2 linked regions of the Saccharomyces cerevisiae S288C genome follow. The gene in region 1 interacts genetically with each later gene. Each region holds a gene or a part of one and is shown on either strand. Other genes may lie near its edges.

Region 1 (7,979 bases):
TAACTTGGATGTCTTGACCAGGAGTAAACGCCAGTTTTCACTAAAACATGATCGGACTCCTTCTTGGTCTTCACAATATGAGAAAAGGAATGTCCCGCAGTATGCATAGCAATAGTTCTGGTATATTGTCCCAGAATAACTAGAAGACATCCAAGTACTGTACAAAGCTTGGTAGCTAGAGAGTAGCTAAAAATTTTCAGATCAGGAAAAAGAAAGCTTTCTACGAGGCATTCCAGAATAGCAAAGGAATGTGCCGCCATGTAACTTTTGCCGTTGTTCAGAAGAAAGGACTCTGAATGTACCTTAAGAGGATTGTATTTAGCTGTAATATAATACTCCAAAAAATGGAATAAGGACAGGGCAATAATAAAGAGGTTAAAATTCTTGAATCTAATTTGTGGAAAAAGACCAACAAATATACCTAAAAGAATCCCCAGTATGTAGGAAGTCATGGTCACCTCATGCAGCGGATTGCGTCTGATGTCTGGATACTCATGCTCGTCTTCTTGAAAATCTTGGTGCATGTTGTGTTCAAAAACGGTGACCACAATGAAAGAGGAGGTAAAAAGAGTAATTATCTTGAAATCGATTTTCACTTTCTTATATAATTCATCAACACGAGAACCTTTCTATATACTGGTGGTATCATGTAAAGAATTGTTTTACCATAGTGGCCCATTTGTCAATTCGTCTTGAGTGATGTTTCATTATCAATCGGTTGCTATGCCAACGAAAATACTATGTCAGACTCTCTTGATGTATATAATGAATGGCAAAGTACATAGAAATAGATAAAAGTTGTTATTGTGAGTCGGAGGGGCTGTTTGTTTGTCCTACTCGTTGGCCGCGGCCTTGAAATTGGTTCAAATTCGATGGGCCACTTCTTAATTGACTTCCAGAAGCTCTGCCTGAATCTGTGCCACTGGTTTGAGACAATGTTGCAGGGGCCGTACCCAATCGTTGACCTCTTCCACTAAAAGTTCTCGTTTCTCTTTGCGAAGATGGCACATTGGCAAAGTTGTTGTTGAATGTTGCAGTTTCATTGTGGGCACCCGTTATGCGAGCATATAGACTAGTAAACCACCATGGCGTTGAGAATTTCCCATTGGGCGAGATTCCGTAGGTTGGATCAGCTTTTCTGGATATCATCCCCCATATTGGCCCCAGTGTATGGGTATCTAAGCATGTATAAAGGTACCCTGTAGTAAAACCGATCAATGAGATTACGAAATCACCCTCATTAAAAACGAAAGAGATAAACAATTGAATTAAGGGGAAGTACTTCCCCCAAACAGGAATCAAACCATAAAACATGATCTGCACGTTGGCATTGTCGATCGACCAAGTATATGTAATGCATGATATGAACCCAGAGGTGAGCACAACAGGGTAGTAGGACCCATAAATGATTGTAGTGGCCGTAGTGATGGCTAGTATACAAAAGCACAGGTAGTAGGCATAGTCTACTGTTACCATCGGTCCTCGTCTATTGGACAAACCGGGACCAAAATGCCCTCGCTCCAACTGTGAGGACCTGTCATAAATACTATATAGTTCCATTAGCGCAGGCATGGCACGAGACGAAAGCATTACACAAGAAGTAAGAAGTCTCCATATCTGAACCTTCTTGAACGTCAAATTCCAAACATAAATAAAGTACCACGGATTGATTAGATTCAACCGGCCGACGATCGTCATAACGATCGCTAGAGTAAATAAAGTTCTTGTTATTGGGGGGATATTTAACCAGAATTCTTTTGGGCCCATCACATCATTATTACGGCCTCCATTTCCATGTAATGTACGCACATTCCTTGGGCCTGCCATTATTTCCTCGAAAATAGTTTTTGATTTGACTTGGAAATGCGGAATTCACTGGTAATTTGTTGTATTTTGCCTTATATCCTTTGTTTGATACTCTTGTCTTATATTGAAGAGGACACGATTTCATGAGCCGCGAACGGGTAAGTAGGGACTTTTCACATTTGAAATTTTTCAAATGTGATGAGGATCGATTCTGCAAAGCAGCAGATAATAGCAGATAAAAAATAGAGAGTTGCAATATTCAAGTTCCTGGTAGCTGCTCGAATCAAGAGGGGTGAATTAAAGGTTTTCGATTTTTGCTATGGCTGTTCACACCAATAGGCAAATCCTTACAAGAGGCAAAAACTATGCTACAAAGCAATCAAAGAAATTCGGTACCGATGAGGTGACGTTCGACAAGGATTCTCGTTTGGATTATCTGACTGGCTTTCACAAGAGAAAGCTTCAAAGACAAAAGAAAGCACAAGAGTTTATTAAGGAGCAGGAAAGGCTTAGAAAAATTGAAGAAAGACAGAAGATTCGGCAGGAACGTAAGGAGGTGATGGAAGAACAGTTAAAGACGTTTAAAGAGAGTTTAAACTTGGAAGCTGAGATAGAGGATGCGAAAAATGATAAGACGGAGGATTTGCAGGTAGAATCTGATGAATCCTGGCACGGGTTTGATTCTGATAAAGATGACGGCGATAACGACAATAATGAAAGTAGCGTAAAGCCTATTTTGAAGAAAGGAGCAATCACGGAAATATACGATGACTCAACTACTGTTGAATTGGAGACATTGGAACCCAATGATAACTTTGAATATTTAGCCCAGCTAAATAATGTCAAATTAGAAAAGGCAGAAAAAGTACTCAAACAAAGCATAAATAGAGCCACCAAATACGCGAAGTTTCTGGGCGTGGATGAGAAACAAAAGAAGAAGCCAAGAGTAAAAAAGTTCAGATATTTGACCAAAAATGAACGAAGAATAAACCAAAGAAAGGCAAACGACAACAAGCGTAGGAGATAATGCAGTCGCATTATCGTCGGGCACCGCCTGGGGTTTCTTGACGCTCAAACAGTGTTTGATTTTTTTTTGGAAAAGTATATACTGTGCATATGTATTTTTCGTTTATTATATGTAATATATCGAATAAACCATTCTACGGGGAAAATAGAACAAATATTTACAGCATTTGCATGATTTTATATGGCTTGCCCAACAAATTATTTGCTTGCAAACTTAATATAATACTCTGCGTCCAATTTGAAAACGACCCATATGCCTCTTCTAATTACTTCGAAATACTGCATTTCGCCTTGGAAAAAAATGTAGTCGCTATCTGCGGCAACTAATTTCAGATTCTGCGATAAATATACCCATAGCCACCAGAACCTCAGCAAAAAGTCAACGAGAATCGCCGAATGATACATTTTTTTCTTTAATGTGACGGCACTTTTGGATCTGGATCTTAAAGAGGTTAACGAGTCCAATGACCAATCCATCCTTACATCCCAAAATAACGTATAGGAAGAATTAATTAGCATAAACCATCTTTGAACGTGGTGTAGTCTTTCTTCGTTGATGGATCCCTCATACACTCTTGATCTCCAGGTGCAAAAAAGAATGGGAAGATTACAACTGTATTTCAATGCATTGAATAGTAAAGTTGCTTCGTGCAGTAAACGGTATTCTCTCAAACACTGCAGTAGTCTTACCAGTACAGGAAGAAGGGCTACGGATAGATCAAAATGTGTGAAGGGTTCTCTAAAAATTAGAGAGGTAAACAATGTGAAGTCTATCAATGGTTTTGCAAACGATGTCAACGTGTCAGAGATTAAAATGTAGGTATTCCTTAAGGAACGGGGGGAGGATTCTATCAACAAACATCTCCTAGTACAATATTTTATTATCTGGCACTCTTTCAACAGAAACCAAAATATAGTGACACATTGGATCAATGGTAGAAAATATACGATGAGAATGATATTTTTGAGTGGACCTTCTATAATATTCATGAACTCAAAAAGGAACACAGTGGCAAAGTGGAACGGTATAATAATCCTTGTTATCTTCAAAGCAAAATTTCTAGCTGTTCTATGCAATTGCTGTAGAGTATAACCTGGACGTATATCGTGCGGTACTCTCGTGAGTATGACTTGGGATACGTCTAAATTACTATGCAAGAAGAATTTTAATATCCATGTCCAGATCCAAAGGGCAAGTATTATGAGCACAATAAATCGCTGCGGAGGGGGAACATTTAATATATTTTGGAGATAAAGTCCTTCAGAATTACTTTCGCTTTTCTCCATATTTTGCGGCCCAACTTGTTGCAGAATTGAAAACTTTGTATAATACTAATAATAATTTATAATAATAACAATAATAATTTATAACAATAATAACAATGCCAAACAATTTATATGGGTAACCAGTTTTTGGTACTGTTTGCCATCAATATTGCGACTAAATCGGGAGCGGTTAGCGCTGGCTTGCACTTTTTGCAACTGACTCTATTTCTTTCATTGATTATGTTATTTTCAGATGACGAAATACGCCAAAAAAATTCGGGAAATAAATACTAGCGTGATATCGGTTTAGGTATATTACAAAAGAACACCAAGGTAAGGCATCATTAGTTATGTATGCATATTACTGACTTTTACCAAGCGGACCATGACCCGAGTTCAATGATTACCCCTAATACAATTTTTGTGTGTTCCGCCATATGAGCGAGACTTAATCTGTCCAAAGTATCCATGGTGCTGTGAATATACTTGTTAGTCTTTTTGAACTCACTTTCAATCACGAAGGAGCCTGGAAATCCGTTTCTGGTGGCACTCCCATGATCGCTACAAGCATAGCCACATTGTGTATCCCTGTAAGGAATGGATAGATAAGAGTTGATAATTAGTTTTATAAAATCAGTTAATGCGGGAGTAGTGTAGTCGGTGACAATCCCCACATGTTCATCTTCTGGATCAGAAACATATCCCGTCATGTCTTGCTGAAGCATCGCTCTCACATGCTTTTTCTGTTTGGCATAAGCTGTAAAAACATCAAGAGAACCCAACAATCCCCCCTCTTCGGCGGAATAAAAGTGAAATTCCACAGTGTTGTTAGGTCTAAATCCTCTCTTCAAAAAATTTTCCGTATATAATCTGAGAGCCTCCATATTAGTCACCGTGCCTGACCCATTGTCGTCCGCACCTGGAGCTGCCATTATGGATGGCAGTAGCAGATTGATAGAATCTTGATGAGAACCAATTATTATAATATCTTCTGGCGTAGTAGATCCCGTGACACGGACTATAATTGAATATTGCTTCCATTCTTTGTGATCAAAATGTTCAATAGTCAACGTATCTTGCGGAATATCTTTTGTAATATTAGCGATAGTTGCAGCTAACCACTCGGCAGATTCAAAGCCGTGATCGGACTTGTAGTAACGGGTGTAAAAACTTGTAAACTTTGCCAAGTTCTTGTGCATAGAGCCCTTGTCTATATTCTTAATCGAATCATCCACTACTTCTTTGTTCGATATCTCAGGAGGATAGTTATACGTTGGTACTGTTGGCTCTTCCTCCTTGTTAAAGAAAGGTAAGAAAGAAGTGTGTTTGGTCACATCAAAGAATTTGACACCTCTTCTTCGTAAGTTTAGCTTTTCTGATTCGGGAACCTCCATTACCTCATTCTCTCCTACTTGTAAAACCCTTAAAGGCTCATATGGATATGACCATGCGATGATGGCAACATTAAATAAAACAAAAAGCGACTGTATCCTCATATTGTGCTAATCAGCGGTTGATTATGTTACTTACTTTTTCGAATAAAGATTTTGTATTTCTTTAGCTTCGAAGATTGATAATTATTGAATATCAAGTTTCAGTTTACTATAGCGGTCCGAACATATGAAAGATTTTAGTAAAGACGCTGGCAAGCTTTTCAGTCAAAATAATACAAAAGGAAATAGATAGAAAAAAAGGAAATAATCAGGCCTCCATATTGGACTCAACTATCCTTCAGTACCGCAAAACTTATTGTGTCCATATATCCTATGTCAGCATACATCGCAATGAAAGGAGTAATAACAAACGTCGATGAGAACATAAGAAATGATGAAGATGTGGCTTTTGAGTACGAAATACAAAAGACACCGCAGAACATACTTACATGGAAAAGATATATCGAGTATTGGAAAGAGGAGGGAAGAACTGACAAACAGATTAGGTGGCTATATGAAAGATTTTGTTCACAATTTGTAACAGATACAAGTATATGGGAAGATTATATACGCTGGGAATCAACAAAGGAAGTAGTCGAAACTTCACGTATTTTCTGGCTTTTTCAAAGGTGCCTGAAAAGCTGTGTACGAGATTGTGACAGGATATGTTTGTCTTATTTAGAATTGGCAATTGAACAATATGACTTGGCAATGATAAGGCATGCCTTAGCTTCATCTTTAATGAAAATGGAGAGAGAAATGCATCGGAAAGTTTGGGATCCTGTCATAAAATTTGTGGAAGAAAAAGTTTTACCATTAACGCAACTGGATTCAACTCAAGAAGATGAAGAAGAAAGTACTGATGAAGCTGAATTGATAAATGTACTTTTAGTGAAGGGTTTCACGAAGGGAGGTTTTATTAGCGAGGAAATTAGTGAAAACGGAAGTAGAGGTGATATTTGGTCGTCACATATTTTAGAAAGATACTTAAAAGTGGCTCCTCAGCAAAAACGAAATGAATCGCTGGCAACTCTTGCATTAACTAGAGACAATATTACCATCAAATCAGTATATGAAAAGTATTTGCCACAAGATGAAAATAGTGGGAAGTATCTACCTAGTTCAGAACTGCCTTTTGAATTAAATTTCAATTATTTGGCCAGCCTAGAAAAACTAGGTTTAGATAATCAATATGAGGAGTTCATGAGGCAAATGAATGGCATATATCCCGACAAATGGCTTTTTTTGATCCTATCACTTGCCAAATATTATATCTCTCGCGGGAGGCTTGACAGTTGTGGTGATTTATTGAAGAAAAGTTTACAGCAAACACTTAGGTACAGTGATTTTGATCGCATCTATAATTTCTATTTGCTATTTGAGCAAGAGTGCTCCCAATTTATTCTGGGAAAGCTAAAGGAAAATGACAGCAAATTCTTTAATCAAAAAGATTGGACTGAAAAGTTACAAGCTCATATGGCGACATTTGAATCTTTAATCAACTTATATGATATCTATTTGAACGATGTCGCACTAAGGCAAGATTCCAACTTGGTGGAAACGTGGATGAAAAGAGTGTCCTTGCAGAAGTCAGCAGCGGAAAAGTGTAATGTGTATTCAGAAGCTATACTGAAAATTGATCCCCGAAAAGTTGGTACGCCTGGCTCTTTCGGTAGGCTTTGGTGTTCGTATGGGGATTTGTATTGGAGATCAAACGCAATTAGTACAGCTAGAGAATTGTGGACACAATCTCTGAAGGTACCGTATCCTTATATAGAAGATCTGGAAGAAATTTACCTAAACTGGGCTGATAGAGAATTAGATAAAGAAGGGGTGGAAAGAGCTTTTTCTATCCTTGAAGATGCATTACATGTGCCAACAAATCCAGAAATTCTCCTCGAAAAATATAAGAATGGACACAGAAAAATACCTGCTCAAACTGTTCTATTCAACTCATTACGTATTTGGTCCAAATACATTGATTATCTAGAGGCTTACTGCCCAAAGGATGCAAATTCCTCCGATAAAATATTCAATAAGACAAAAATGGCATACAATACTGTTATTGATTTGAGATTGATCACTCCAGCAATGGCAGAAAATTTTGCATTGTTCTTACAAAATCATTACGAAGTCATGGAAAGTTTTCAGGTGTATGAGAAAACAATCCCTCTGTTTCCCCCCGAAATCCAATACGAATTATGGATTGAGTATCTAGAAGTAGCGACATCACATCAATTGTCATCACTGAGTCCTGAACATATTAGATTTTTGTTTGAGAAAGCACTTAAGAATCTATGTTCAAATGGTATAGACTGTAAAACAATTTTTATCGCTTATAGCGTATTTGAAGAAAGGATAAGTGGTCTGATTAGCAAGAGTATTGAGATATTACGTAGAGGTGCTGTAATAGGTACTGTTAGTGTGAGCACGCACCTCGAAAGTAGA
Region 2 (6,042 bases), on another chromosome or scaffold:
TTTAGCGCAATTTCTTTCCCATATGGCGCCAAAACCGGTAAGGATATCTTTACTGGTGAAGAAGTTGAAATTCCACCTGTAACAAAGATTGTTGAAAATGCTGTTCCAGGTAACCCAGGTGTTGTCTTCCAAAATATTTAAAGGAGAATATTTCAAGATGCCTCATGGTGATTTTCCGATAAAAGATACAAGAAATTCTCATAGAAATACTTATAAAGATCAATAAACAGCAACCAGAAATCACGTCGCATTGATAATTTGCCTCGTATATATCGTATAATTATTGTAATTGCACAACTGTTTTTGTTTTGTATTCGTTCATTTTCTTGTAAAATGTTTCCACATTTTCTTGTGGAGGATATGTATATTGATTCTTTACTTATTCGTGTTATTTTAGCTGCAAATATCTGGGTTTGAGGGCTATTTGACTAGTCTAGAGAAAAGTAGTCGTGAGAAAACTATATTAGATAGATGGATGAGAGGAGCAGGTCAATAAGTAAAAGAATAATAAATAAATATATAAAAATATACATGTAAAAAAGGTGTTCTAAATGAATGATAAAGTTTATGAATGTAATATACTCTAAGGATGTAAGAAAAAAACCGTTGCGTATGTATAATAAACAGGTCTATGATGTTAAAAGATGAAAAGGCCTAATAAAGTGAACAGAACCGGAAGAAACTAAAAATAAATAAAACCCAAGTAACCACGTACAAAAAGCACATTGATGCTAAGAAGATCTCCCTGCTAGGAAAACAGAAATCAGAATGAAACGTTTCAATAATCATCCCTCAAGTTTTTTCTTCATTTGGAGCAACGTCACTACTGACTTTTTTCTCCCCTTTCCTCTTCTCTTTGAAAATTCATCCATTTTCCGCTGAAGCGTCTCACTTGTTTTATTGTCAACTAATGTATTTCTCTTAGCACTTACATGAATAAGCTCATTTGTGTTCATTGATTTTTCCTTAGGTGGATGAAAAGGCTTCAAATTTTTCAGTAGTTCACTAGGTATATTCTCCCACTCTGAAAAGAATTCAAGTCCAGTGGCAGAGGAAATCCATGGTGATAGAGGTTCATTTAAATCTTCAAGCTTCATCGCAAATTCGTATAACGTACTTCCGGTGTCTTCCTTTAGCTTCGGGTCATTGGGATTGATGAATAAGGGTCTATATCCAGAATAGAGTACATTTGTGGTCATGTCACTCTGCTTTAAATGTGAGGTGGATGGTACTCTTGGTAGCCACGAAAAATCGCTTCTTTTCTTTTTTAAATGAGAACCTCTCACATCGCTATGTTCTTTCTTTGTGATTGTCTTGTTTTGCTTTATAAGTGGTGCAGTATGTTCGTGTTCCGGGGGTTGACGATGGTACGCTGCCTTTTTACTGCCCTTTTTTCTTTTGGATTTCATTTGATTTTTAGATAGTAAAGACTGGTTACTTAAGAACGTAAAGGAAGACTGAAATCTTCTAGAAGTGAGAACTATTCCTGAAGAAATGGCATTGTTCCTTGATAAAGGCGGAATAAATGGACGAGCTAGCTTCAACATAGTTTATCGTCCGACTTTGCGTTCTGACCTGCTGAATATACGATTAGTAGTTTTAAAAGCACCTTTATAATGTTCGACAGCAAGGAGTGCTATATCTAGCGGGTGTTTGTGTACGTATGACGGAATAAGTTAAAGAAACATCTAAGTTATTTAAATAGTTGCTATAACTACCCTTTGGGATAAACGATTCTGATATTGCGAGCGAAAAAAAGAAACGGTAGACAGAATAGGCGTTTGTTATCGTCGATGGTGATAAAAGGCGATATCGCCATTAAGGTAAACAATTATTATGATTATGGTTCTTATGGTTGATACGTTGATTTATATTAATATTAATGAATGCAAACTTATGTTATTATATATTTTTAAATTTTCATACCGACAGGAAGAGTCAATGACCTCTTGACCACACCTGTTGGTAGCGATATAATGCTGTTTGAGTAGGCAGGATTTAGCATAGCAAATGGAGATCTTAACGTAATACTCAAATCGCTTTGTTTTCTCATCGGACTTAATTCCGCTAATTCGTCTACCTCTTTTGCCAAATTTCTTCCTTCTCCTTCTTTTCTTTTTTCTTCTTCTTCTTCATCATCTTCATCATCTTCTTCATCTTCTTCATCTTCTTCATCATCATTTTCTTCTTCTTCTTCTTCATCATCTTCATCATCTTCATCTTCTTCTTCTTCCTCGTCGGCCCTTACTGTAACGCCATCAAATATTTGGGAGGAGCTACCATCAGCCTCATATTCAGTTAATAGAGAATCGACAAGATCTTCGTAGATAGTTGAGTTTGTTTCTGCTGATTTATTCATATAAACAACATTGCTCTTATAATTTTGTATACGAGCAATTTGTACCCTGAGCATAATTCTTTGAGCAATTACGGTGCTTAAATAATGTTTCATCAAATTGTAACTCTCTTCATTTGAAGTTTCCTCATTATTTGCATCCACATTTTGAATTTCATTGTTGCATTCAACTCTGTCCTTATTATCTACTTCCGTTGTCTCCATTGCATCCGCATAATTAGAGTAGCTTTCAGATGATTCTCTGTCATAATCAGATGAGCAAACGCTATTAACGGGAGATAATTCTCTCATAGAACTAGTATCAATTACATATTCGTCTTCCTCTTTAATAGAATATCGATTCATGGATAACGGAATAACTTTATTTTCTACCACAATTGATGGCTGTCTTGCAATTGCATTTAGGGCCGTCGATGGTTTTGACCTTACCAATCTTGACCTCGAGTACATGCTGCTGTTGCGAGTGACGGCATGACTAACATTATCCGGTACAGAAATGAAGGAGTTTTTATTATTTGCCGGTGTCATAGTGGCAGATGCGGTTAGGATGGATGCAGCCCTTCTAATAGAGGAATTTGTTCTTCTCAATGATGGAGTATAGCTTACCAAAGGGCTCCTTGGGGTGTTTGATCCAACTTTGGAATCTTCAGATTGGGGATGGTTTGCTTTAAATTTCGTATCAACTGTCAAAGGTTTAGTCTTTTTTTGTGGAGCCAATACAGGTACTAAAGATTTTGATGAGATCGACCGTTGTAAATTAGAGACGTATCTCTGCGATTTTTTTTGACGCGGAGTAGAGTTGCTGTTTTTGTTGACTAGGTTCGTCCCTCTTTTTTTTGACTTGTTGTTAATGTTTGCTTTAGATTTAGTGGTTTTGGAATTCGTGGCGGAGGGGACCTTTTGAACATTATATGAAAACAGTCTTCTTCTTAAAACTAGCCGTAATTTCCGTAACTTTTTCTTTATCTTGATTCCCAATGAGGTGAAATAATATAAGAGTCCGCCCTTACATCTAATAGCTTTTGATCGTTTTAGAGAACAACGACTGCTACTTGATTTACTGCTGACACTTGAACTATACCTGGAATTGGAAAACCTCGAGGATTCAACTCGTCTTATGGTCGGAACTCTGTTTAGCTTTTTTTTAGGTTTCGGTACTACGCTATTGTTTAATTCGATAGTTTTTATATCCTTTTCCATATTTAATTTGGTCATCGGTTTGGCTTCTTGGGTCGACGGCAGAATGGCGCTTTTAGATGTCGATTTCCTTGGTAATAACGATGATGCTGATGACGGCGCGATATCGTAGGAAACATTATCTGCTGTTGGGATAGTCTGGAATGCCGTTGAGATTGAGCCAGTTATGTTTCCCTCTGGAATAGCTTCCATTGAATGTAACTGGTTTTTAACTACATTTGAGCTGCTATAATGAAGAGAGTCATTTCCTGGGAAGTCATGAGAAGCAAAAAAGTCACTTTTGTTCGAGTCTGAGGAAGTTAATCTAGCGGTTTCATTTTGATTGATTACAATACGTGGTGAAGACGTAGTATTGTCAGAAATGTTAGCAAATGAATAGTATCCATTTGATGAATAACCGGAATTTGTATTTGTATTGGAAGTGGATGTATAGTCTGATAATGTTTGAGAGTTTCCGTCTTCATCGCGAGAAACTCCATTTTCTGCTGCAAACACATCATTTAAAAGATGATGATTATTCAAATGGTACTCTTCTAGCGTTCCTCTTGGTAAACTTTCGTTAGACGGGAATTTAAAATCCATTTGATCGCCTCTAAACGACTTGGTTTTTGTCCTTATTGGAGCTCTGATGATCATTCCGTATGATATATTTGTTGTGATAATAAGCCAAATTTATTTGAGCACTATTGTTAAGTTAATTGTTCTTGTTTTACTTGTTAAGCCGTTAAGTTGTCAACCGAATTATCAAGCACTTAAATCTATATATACAACATATTTGTACAAGAATTGATGACCTGCTGAAAGCCCAGCAATCTGGTTATCCCAGTTGAACATGTTTAAGGATAGGCATATCGACTTCTTTATCTTACTAACCGAAATATTGAATTGCCTGTGTAATGAATGGCTGGAGCAGCCTTTTTTTTATCTTCGCCAGCCATCGCTTTTTTTGAATATTTTCCACATGAAAACAATGTATGAAAAATTCTAAGGCATCGCACCAAACTATATGAAGGGGAAGTGAGTTATTCCGCAAACAGCGAGTAAGTTTTTCGTTGTATTGATTGCCCATATTATATACCGTGTTGTGGGGGCAACAGACAGAAGTAGAAGAAAAAATTTTTGTTGATTTAACTGAAGTGATGGGAAGGACATTTATTCATGCTTCGAAAATAAAACATGCGGCACGCAAAAGAAAACATCATTCCAACTTTAGAACTCTGATCAAATTATTGAACAATGATGCCTATAAGATAGAATCATCAAAACCGTTGAAAAATGGTAAACTTTTCAAATACTGGAAAAATAGGCGTAGATTGTTTTCAAAGATAGATTCGGCGTCGATATATATGACTGATGAGCTGTGGTTCAGTGTGACGCCCGAAAGAATTGCCTGCTTCCTGGCAAATTTTGTTAAGGCATGCATGCCAAATGCCGAAAGAATACTGGATGTTTTCTGTGGTGGGGGCGGGAACACCATACAATTTGCCATGCAATTTCCTTACGTCTATGGAGTGGACTACAGTATTGAACACATATATTGTACTGCGAAAAACGCCCAAAGCTACGGTGTGGACGACAGAATATGGCTGAAGCGGGGATCCTGGAAAAAGCTAGTCTCTAAGCAGAAACTTTCCAAAATAAAGTACGACTGTGTATTTGGATCACCCCCGTGGGGTGGTCCAGAATACTTAAGAAACGATGTGTATGACTTAGAGCAACATCTAAAGCCTATGGGGATTACCAAGATGTTGAAAAGTTTTCTTAAACTAAGCCCTAATGTGATTATGTTTTTGCCAAGGAACTCTGATTTGAACCAGCTTTCTCGAGCTACGAGGAAAGTACTAGGTCCATTTGCCAAATGTAAAGTATTATATGTAAAGGAGAATGGATATATGAAAGGAATATTTTGCATGTGGGGGGAATGCTTTTTTAACTACGAACCAGCAAGTACGGAGAATAGTCGAAGGGAGTCGTCCGAAAAGGAAGAGCTGAGTTCTGAAAACGAAGAGCTCTCGAAAAGAAAAAAGCATGAATCCACAACAACGACCAAAGATAATACTGTAGACATTTACGACGTAAATGGTTAAACACTTGTTCAAGTTGAATCGTATGATAGAAAATGCAATGACTATGTTATGAATGTATATATAGCACATAAAGAGGATCGCTTACGTGAATTTGGGAATAATTAAAACGTTCTTTTAGCTGCGGCTGCTCGTCGATAGGAGTGATAACAAATTAAGAATTAGAAGGGATGTCTTTTTTTTCTACCAGCAAGTTGCCACGCGCTTCAGACTTTAGAAGAGGTAGTAGCAATCCCTTCGAATGAGGTTCGATTATATCTCTCACCATTCCACGATTTATCACGGAAATACCATTCAAAAATAAATAAGGCGACTGAATGGATTCCAAGGCAGCACTAGTATCGATATTTAGTTTATTTTGTTTGATATACTTTTCTAATTCATAGCCATGAGAGTGTTTTTCCA

What was found. Genes that interact genetically often act in the same process or in processes that back each other up.
Region 2: mutations in ERD1 (region 1) and AIM44 together harm fitness less than expected from each alone (positive genetic interaction), as found in Saccharomyces cerevisiae (3 studies listed by BioGRID).

The regions. Positions count from the first base shown.
Region 1 is NC_001136.10:1,292,568-1,300,546, forward strand, and holds ERD1 (Erd1p), read right to left. Parts: upstream 4,120-7,979; coding exon 3,031-4,119; downstream 1-3,030. Other genes in the region: STE14 (protein-S-isoprenylcysteine carboxyl O-methyltransferase), read right to left, coding at 1-524; DFM1 (Dfm1p), read right to left, coding at 802-1,827; rRNA-processing protein RRP17, read left to right, coding at 2,126-2,833; YDR415C (putative aminopeptidase), read right to left, coding at 4,470-5,594; mRNA splicing protein SYF1, read left to right, coding at 5,865-7,979. UniProt on the Saccharomyces cerevisiae protein: Required for the retention of luminal endoplasmic reticulum proteins, affects glycoprotein processing in the Golgi apparatus.
Region 2 is NC_001148.4:250,122-256,163, forward strand, and holds AIM44 (Aim44p), read right to left. Parts: upstream 4,190-6,042; coding exon 1,913-4,189; downstream 1-1,912. Other genes in the region: leucine--tRNA ligase CDC60, read left to right, coding at 1-141; PET20 (Pet20p), read right to left, coding at 786-1,547; TGS1 (RNA methyltransferase), read left to right, coding at 4,693-5,640; pheromone-regulated protein PRM4, read right to left, coding at 5,792-6,042.